Linked DNA regions of Saccharomyces cerevisiae S288C. The main gene of each other region encodes a partner of the protein of the gene in region 2 in a complex. Each region holds a gene or a part of one and is shown on either strand. Other genes may lie near its edges. A codon is read from its position in the direction of its gene.

What was found.
Region 1: the proteins of ATX1 (region 2) and CCC2 are in contact, whole or in part, in an NMR structure (PDB 2GGP), measured with the Saccharomyces cerevisiae proteins. Residues at the interface, in NP_014140.1 of Saccharomyces cerevisiae: Thr14 (codon at 1,006), Cys15 (codon at 1,003), Gly17 (codon at 997), Cys18 (codon at 994), Ala21 (codon at 985), Lys24 (codon at 976), Val25 (codon at 973), Lys28 (codon at 964), Lys59 (codon at 871), Lys61 (codon at 865), Lys62 (codon at 862), Thr63 (codon at 859), Gly64 (codon at 856), Lys65 (codon at 853); in NP_010556.1 of Saccharomyces cerevisiae: Cys13 (codon at 2,091), Ala15 (codon at 2,097), Cys16 (codon at 2,100), Thr19 (codon at 2,109), Gln23 (codon at 2,121), Glu60 (codon at 2,232), Asp61 (codon at 2,235), Cys62 (codon at 2,238), Gly63 (codon at 2,241), Phe64 (codon at 2,244), Asp65 (codon at 2,247).

What each region holds. Positions count from the first base shown.
Region 1 is NC_001136.10:1,003,621-1,009,447, forward strand, and holds CCC2 (Cu(2+)-transporting P-type ATPase CCC2), read left to right. Parts: upstream 1-2,054; coding exon 2,055-5,069; downstream 5,070-5,827. Other genes in the region: tryptophan--tRNA ligase MSW1, read left to right, coding at 384-1,523; hydroxyacylglutathione hydrolase GLO2, read left to right, coding at 5,390-5,827. UniProt on the Saccharomyces cerevisiae protein: Copper-transporting P-type ATPase necessary for the proper uptake of iron. Required for export of copper from cytosol into extracytosolic compartment.
Region 2 is NC_001146.8:156,821-159,579, forward strand, and holds ATX1 (copper metallochaperone ATX1), read right to left. Parts: upstream 1,046-2,759; coding exon 824-1,045; downstream 1-823. Other genes in the region: ribosome biosynthesis protein LTO1, read right to left, coding at 39-527; DSL1 (Dsl1p), read right to left, coding at 1,289-2,759. UniProt on the Saccharomyces cerevisiae protein: Copper homeostasis factor that specifically transports copper to the secretory pathway for incorporation into copper enzymes destined for the cell surface or extracellular milieu.

The DNA.
Region 1 (5,827 bases), on a different chromosome or scaffold from region 2:
TCGATGTGAGATTTTTCAAAACACGGCCCGCTGAGAGCAGAAAGTTTTAGATGACCTATTTGAAGGCAATCACGATGGTATTTTTCAAGAAAATAAATAGTAGTAACACTGCTATGCACATCAGAGTCAGATTCCTTAAATTCAAACGTTTCTACAATTAGTATGACCTTTTCTTGAAGATCTTTTTCTCCTTATAAAGGCAACACAAAACAAGATAGAAGTGCAAAGGTATTTTTTGTTTTTCACGTGATAAAATCGGCTTCGAGAAAGTAGAAAAGGGTATTATGATTTATTACAGGCTACCTGCACCATCTCAAAGGTTTTACGTTACTAAGGAGTGAATCAGGTTTTGATAAATATTTACACTATCTTTTACAAGGAAGATGTCGAATAAGCAGGCGGTTCTGAAGTTAATCAGTAAAAGGTGGATAAGCACAGTGCAACGTGCCGATTTTAAGCTGAATTCCGAAGCGCTTCATAGTAATGCTACGGTATTTAGTATGATTCAGCCAACTGGGTGTTTCCACCTTGGTAATTATCTAGGTGCTACACGTGTTTGGACAGACTTATGTGAATTAAAACAACCTGGCCAGGAATTGATATTTGGAGTTGCTGATTTACACGCTATCACTGTTCCAAAGCCAGATGGAGAAATGTTTAGAAAATTTCGCCATGAGGCAGTAGCAAGTATACTGGCTGTCGGTGTAGATCCAGAAAAGGCTTCGGTGATCTACCAATCCGCCATCCCTCAACACAGTGAATTACACTGGTTGCTTTCTACTCTTGCCTCGATGGGATTACTTAACCGCATGACGCAATGGAAATCAAAATCGAATATCAAACAATCAACTAATGGGGATTATCTGGTTAACGATTCTGACGTGGGAAAAGTTAGACTGGGCTTATTTTCGTATCCTGTTTTACAGGCAGCGGATATTCTACTTTATAAATCTACACACGTTCCTGTTGGCGATGATCAATCGCAGCATTTGGAACTAACAAGACACCTTGCTGAAAAGTTTAACAAAATGTACAAGAAAAATTTTTTTCCTAAACCTGTAACTATGTTGGCACAAACGAAAAAAGTTTTGAGCTTAAGCACGCCTGAAAAGAAAATGTCCAAGAGTGATCCGAATCACGACTCTGTAATTTTTTTGAATGATGAGCCTAAGGCAATTCAGAAAAAGATTAGAAAAGCTTTAACAGATTCCATTTCTGATAGGTTCTACTACGACCCTGTAGAAAGACCAGGCGTATCGAATTTAATTAACATTGTCAGTGGCATTCAAAGAAAATCGATTGAAGATGTCGTAGAAGATGTATCTCGTTTCAATAACTATAGGGATTTCAAAGATTATGTTTCAGAAGTGATAATTGAGGAATTGAAAGGCCCAAGAACAGAATTTGAGAAATATATCAACGAACCGACCTATTTGCATAGTGTCGTTGAATCTGGCATGCGCAAAGCGAGAGAAAAAGCAGCAAAAAACCTGGCCGACATTCATAAAATAATGGGCTTCTGACTGTCCCCGGCTTTAGGCTGCTGCAAACGCAATGTAAATAATAATACAGTTTAACTTGTACGTATCTTTGTTATTTCAGAATATGCAAGATTCCTCACTCGGCAGATCTCATCAATAAACGTTAGTATCTTGAAAAATACGCAGATGTTGGTACAGTCTCTTGCAGAGGGCCAGCACCGTTAGAATGTTGTGTTGCCACCGTCTGGCTCGAAAACAGGTCGATCTGTGTAAGTATTGTCCTGGGTGCAGTTATTTGTAGTAGCGATTTTCGCGGGCAGTGGAAAAGAACGGGTGCAGTGCGGCGATGAGTGCAATTAGCTGCCGAAGGGTTTGCACCGGTGATTCCGAGACCTTTTGCACACACTTGTATATATTTAGGGAAGTCACGGTAACTAATGGATTTCTTCTCAAATTTGAGACATATGGATTAGACTTTAATTCTGCCTGGTACTAAGCTACTTTTCAAAGGTATTTGAGATATTTCGTAAATTTTGCGGCCAAGGAGTTGAGGTGTTTAATACTTAAAACGAAATGAGAGAAGTGATACTTGCTGTACATGGAATGACATGCAGCGCCTGTACTAATACAATCAATACGCAGTTACGAGCTTTAAAGGGTGTAACAAAATGTGATATTAGTTTAGTGACTAATGAGTGCCAGGTGACATACGATAACGAGGTTACCGCCGATTCTATTAAGGAAATTATAGAGGATTGTGGATTTGACTGTGAGATACTAAGAGATTCTGAAATTACAGCCATAAGTACGAAGGAAGGACTACTGAGTGTACAAGGTATGACCTGTGGGTCTTGTGTTTCTACAGTCACCAAACAAGTGGAAGGCATTGAGGGTGTTGAATCGGTAGTCGTTTCCTTGGTAACGGAAGAGTGCCATGTTATTTATGAACCGTCCAAGACAACGCTAGAAACCGCCAGAGAAATGATTGAAGACTGTGGATTTGACTCAAATATTATTATGGATGGCAACGGGAATGCAGACATGACCGAAAAAACGGTGATCTTGAAAGTAACTAAGGCTTTCGAGGACGAATCCCCACTCATACTTTCTTCAGTAAGCGAAAGGTTTCAATTTTTGTTAGACCTAGGTGTAAAATCGATAGAAATTTCTGATGATATGCACACACTCACCATAAAATACTGTTGTAACGAACTCGGCATTAGAGATTTATTGAGGCACCTTGAGAGGACCGGATATAAATTCACTGTATTTTCCAATTTAGATAATACTACCCAGTTAAGGCTTCTCTCTAAAGAGGACGAGATAAGATTCTGGAAAAAAAACAGCATAAAATCCACCCTTTTGGCTATAATATGTATGCTATTGTATATGATTGTCCCTATGATGTGGCCAACAATTGTTCAGGACCGCATATTCCCTTACAAAGAAACCTCCTTTGTTAGAGGTCTGTTCTACAGAGATATTTTGGGTGTAATATTGGCAAGCTATATTCAGTTCAGCGTTGGTTTTTACTTTTACAAGGCAGCATGGGCATCTTTAAAGCACGGTTCAGGAACCATGGATACACTAGTTTGTGTTTCCACTACTTGTGCATACACATTTTCTGTGTTTTCTTTAGTTCACAATATGTTCCATCCCTCAAGTACTGGCAAACTCCCAAGGATCGTTTTCGACACATCAATCATGATCATTTCATATATTTCCATCGGGAAATATTTGGAAACTTTAGCTAAATCACAAACATCAACCGCACTTTCTAAATTAATTCAGCTCACTCCATCGGTGTGTTCAATTATATCTGACGTGGAGCGGAATGAAACCAAGGAAATTCCCATAGAATTATTGCAAGTGAACGATATAGTGGAGATTAAACCAGGGATGAAAATTCCTGCTGATGGCATCATAACAAGAGGTGAATCTGAAATTGACGAGTCGTTAATGACAGGCGAATCCATTTTGGTGCCCAAGAAAACTGGTTTTCCGGTTATTGCTGGTTCTGTTAATGGACCTGGACATTTCTACTTCAGAACTACTACCGTTGGGGAGGAAACTAAATTAGCAAATATTATCAAGGTAATGAAAGAAGCACAATTGAGTAAAGCTCCCATTCAGGGGTATGCAGATTATTTAGCCTCTATTTTTGTTCCGGGGATCCTAATTTTGGCAGTATTGACTTTCTTTATTTGGTGTTTTATTTTAAACATCTCGGCTAATCCTCCCGTCGCTTTCACCGCAAATACTAAGGCTGATAATTTTTTTATTTGCTTACAAACTGCTACTTCTGTTGTCATCGTCGCATGCCCATGTGCATTGGGACTTGCCACGCCGACTGCTATAATGGTGGGTACAGGGGTTGGAGCTCAGAATGGTGTCTTAATAAAGGGCGGAGAAGTATTGGAAAAATTCAATAGTATTACTACTTTTGTTTTTGATAAAACAGGTACCTTAACTACAGGTTTTATGGTTGTGAAAAAGTTCCTTAAAGATTCAAATTGGGTTGGAAACGTGGATGAAGACGAAGTTCTCGCCTGTATAAAAGCAACGGAATCCATTAGTGACCATCCAGTTTCGAAAGCAATTATACGTTATTGTGATGGTTTGAACTGTAATAAGGCTTTAAATGCCGTTGTTTTAGAAAGCGAATACGTGCTTGGAAAGGGAATAGTCTCAAAGTGTCAAGTTAATGGAAATACTTATGATATTTGTATTGGGAACGAGGCGCTGATTTTGGAGGATGCATTAAAAAAATCCGGATTTATTAACAGTAATGTCGACCAAGGAAACACTGTATCATACGTATCAGTAAACGGGCATGTGTTTGGCTTGTTCGAGATTAATGATGAAGTTAAACATGATTCTTACGCAACAGTTCAGTATCTACAAAGAAATGGATATGAAACGTATATGATTACTGGCGATAATAACTCAGCAGCAAAAAGAGTCGCTAGAGAAGTAGGTATAAGCTTCGAAAATGTTTACAGCGATGTGTCACCCACAGGCAAATGTGATCTCGTGAAAAAAATTCAAGATAAAGAAGGTAATAACAAGGTTGCTGTTGTTGGCGATGGCATTAACGACGCTCCCGCTTTAGCACTGAGTGATCTAGGTATTGCCATTTCAACAGGTACGGAGATTGCTATTGAAGCAGCTGATATTGTTATACTGTGCGGTAATGATCTGAATACTAATAGTTTGAGAGGACTGGCCAACGCCATCGATATTTCACTAAAAACGTTCAAAAGAATAAAGCTGAATTTGTTCTGGGCACTTTGCTATAATATATTCATGATTCCGATTGCTATGGGTGTGCTCATTCCTTGGGGCATAACTCTTCCTCCAATGCTCGCCGGTTTAGCGATGGCATTCAGCTCGGTCAGTGTCGTTCTAAGTTCATTGATGTTGAAGAAGTGGACTCCACCGGATATTGAATCACATGGGATTTCAGATTTCAAGTCCAAATTTTCGATTGGGAATTTTTGGTCAAGGCTTTTTTCTACGCGGGCTATTGCAGGTGAGCAAGACATAGAATCACAGGCCGGACTAATGTCAAACGAAGAAGTCTTGTAAATAACAGGTAAGTCTAATTTATTTAAAAAAATCCACGAGCATATAGATTTATAACAATAATAATAATTAATATTCATCAATTTTTTAGTAAATTCATATATTTTACTCCTACTCTATGTATTTTCAGTAAGTCTACTAGTCGTATTACCCGTCGGTTTCAAGGGATATTATGGAGGTAATAAGGATTTTTTTACCGATTTAAAAACCCATTATATCCCTCTTAGAAAAATTTTAGTATTCTTAGATAAGTTGCTAGATTTACCAATATCAAAGGGAAGACTGCAGGACAACACAAAAACACAAGAAAAGGAGGACAAAAAATGCAGGTTAAATCGATTAAAATGAGATGGGAGTCTGGTGGTGTTAATTACTGCTATCTATTGTCCGACAGTAAAAATAAAAAATCGTGGCTAATCGATCCAGCAGAGCCTCCTGAGGTTCTGCCAGAGTTGACTGAGGATGAGAAAATAAGTGTTGAAGCAATTGTTAATACACATCACCATTATGACCATGCAGATGGTAACGCTGATATCTTGAAGTATTTAAAAGAGAAAAATCCAACTTCAAAAGTTGAGGTTATAGGAGGGTCAAAGGACTGCCCAAAGGTTACGATAATTCCGGAGAATTTGAAAAAGTTACACCTAGGTGACTTAGAGATTACTTGTATTAGGACGCCCTGCCATACCAGAGACTCTATCTGTTATTATGTGAAAGATCCAACAACAGATGAGCGCTGCATTTTTACTGGCGATACACTA
Region 2 (2,759 bases):
TTTTGGCGGCCGGCGATAATGTTCTTCACTTGGTATTCTTACCAGGATTGAGCCTGATTTTGTTTTGTCTTATTCTTTGCGATGTCTTCATTTTCTACAAAACCTCTAATTTCTCCGGCAATGGCCCTTGAAACGTCTTCAAAGACTTCAAATGTCACGGTGGGGGTTCTTTTATCTTTAACTAATCGATGAAGAGTTATTAGAATGGTTCTAAACTTATTTTTCAATTTTATTAACACCCTCTCAAATTCCATCACACTTTCATCATCGTTATTCATTTTCAAACCTTTCATTAAAGTACGAATGGTATGTATATTCTTTTCTAGTGTTGGACTATGCAATCCATACGATTCTATAACATCACACAAACCTTCCATTTGTCCCAGGAGCGTAAATCTTTGGAATCCCACTTGTAAACCATACTGTTTACCTTCTAGAAAGCTCTGCTTTATATTCTCATTCTGGCCCTCCAGAAAACCTTCTTGGTAATACTGTTCTTCTAGGTTTAGTAAATTATCAAAATCCATTTTTATTTGTCCAGTGATCTTTACTTTCCATTTACTCTTCAAATATGATAAGTGATTTGATTTAAACAAGTTTTTTTTCATTTTTCTTATAAAACGATTTCTCACCATGATTGAGATTTTTATATTAGTAAGATTATACTGAAAAGGCAAATGGCTACATAGCCAACAAAGAATAAAACAATAAAACAATAAAAAAAGACTTTTTTCTTCGTAAGCATCCTATTGAGAATATTAATCATTTACTTAAGTAGCTACAATACAAAATAGAGTAAAAAACTATTTCTCTTCACTTTCATTCACAATTGTTTGCCAGATCTAACTTCCTTTCCGGTTTTCTTAATCTTTTCTAAAATAAAATCGTAAGGAAGTGTAGTATATACATCTACTAATTGCTTTTCAAGGGATATATCTATTTTGGAAACGTCTGGTTCTAATTTCGTCAAAACTTTATTGACTGCACCAGAACATCCCGAGCAGGTCATGACGACATTGAATTGATAATGTTTTATCTCTGCCATCTTTTGCGCTAGTTCTCTCTTGTGTCGTTGGAAATCTCATCCTGCAATGTTTTAAGATGATTCAAGTCATTTAAGAAGCTCAAAAATGCACTACAAGATGTGCCAACTTTGCACCCCCAAAAAAAACTACCGCATCACGTGAAATTTATTAGAAAACTGAAAAAAAGACAACTTACGCATACGTAATACAAGATGTACATCTATTGCAATGATCATGTAACCTATCCTACGATTAATTATTTTTTAATCATCTAGAGCAGTGCCTCTAATTTCGTAAATATCATCAATGGCATTCCTTCGCAGGGGAGTGTCGGCAAACAATAACTCTATCCATTGGATTAGTTCGTCTGTCGCAAAAAGATAAAAATCCCCATTGTAAAACATCTCCATAATCTCCTTTAAATGTAATGGTAGAAACTTGCCCATAGTGGCGAATTTTTCTCTCATCTTTTTGTAACTTGGTTCCTTCGCTAATAATTGTATATCGGTGTTGTTCACTAATAAAGATACGAGCTCACCCAAATTTTCGGAATTGACCTCAGAGATAATCTGCCATTTTAATATTTCCTTTGTCACGCAATCGTTATATAAAAAGTTTAAGAAAGACAACAAGTAACGGGAACCTTCTTCACCTCTTATTTTCTGCAGTGGACGAACAATTTCCTTCAAGATATAAGGTAGCAGTTTCTCAATGGTGGCGTCCCACGATGGATTTCTCTCGTTCTCACGAAATTCGGTCAATTGATGCCTGATTAGTTGACAGACAATACGATATTTCATGTTCAGTTTAGTTTCCAGCAGGTTCCTTGTTAATTCTTTTATTCTATACAGCTTTTCATCTCGTTCTATTAGATATCTCATATCCACATATAATTGGCACCAATTGTGAGAAAAATTAGCTGTGCACATGGCCATATACGATGTCTGCAAAAGGTTGTATTTGTACGCAAAGTATTGCTCATCAACATGGCTATCTGCAAAGCTACTCTTGAAATTCTGTGAAATTGCCAAGAACAATTTTGGTAACTGTGTAACTTCAATGTGGTCTTTATCAAGTGATCCTACATCATGAGCTTTTAAATGTTCCTTTCCATTTTCTAGGGAAGCATCATCTATATTTTCGTCAATTGCCCAGGCTTCATCCCAGGCATTTTCTTCTTCTTCTGGTTCTTTTTCCTTCTCTTGATTTGTTTTTTCTTCCTCGTCGTCAATATTTACATCAATTTCATCACCCCATGCATCGGCATCATCATCCTCTACTTCCCAATTCCAATCATCATCTTTGGATACGGCATTATGGAGTTCTTTTTCGTTCTGTACATCTGAATCATTTTTTCCAATTTTTTCGCTCATCGTATTAGTATTGCTAGTAGTGAGCTCAACTACTTCCAAATTTTGCCAGCTCTTTTTTGGATCTTCAAATATACTTCTTATCTCACTAATATGCGATTCAAGAACTTTATCTAGTAATAAATTGTAGTATAATTGTTTGTTCATTAACAAATCCTGAATCTCTTTACCGGAATGTGTCCAATTGGTAACTTCTGATTTGGCAACTAGTCTAGTTAGTTTGTTATTTATGACAGAAACTAGATTTTTTAGCGGTGAATCAAGTGATTCTAAAATTATCGATGCATTATTTTTCACAAATTTGGTAAACTCCGTATTGAACAAGGGACCTAGCTCATAACTTAAGGTCTTTCTGTCTCTAAAG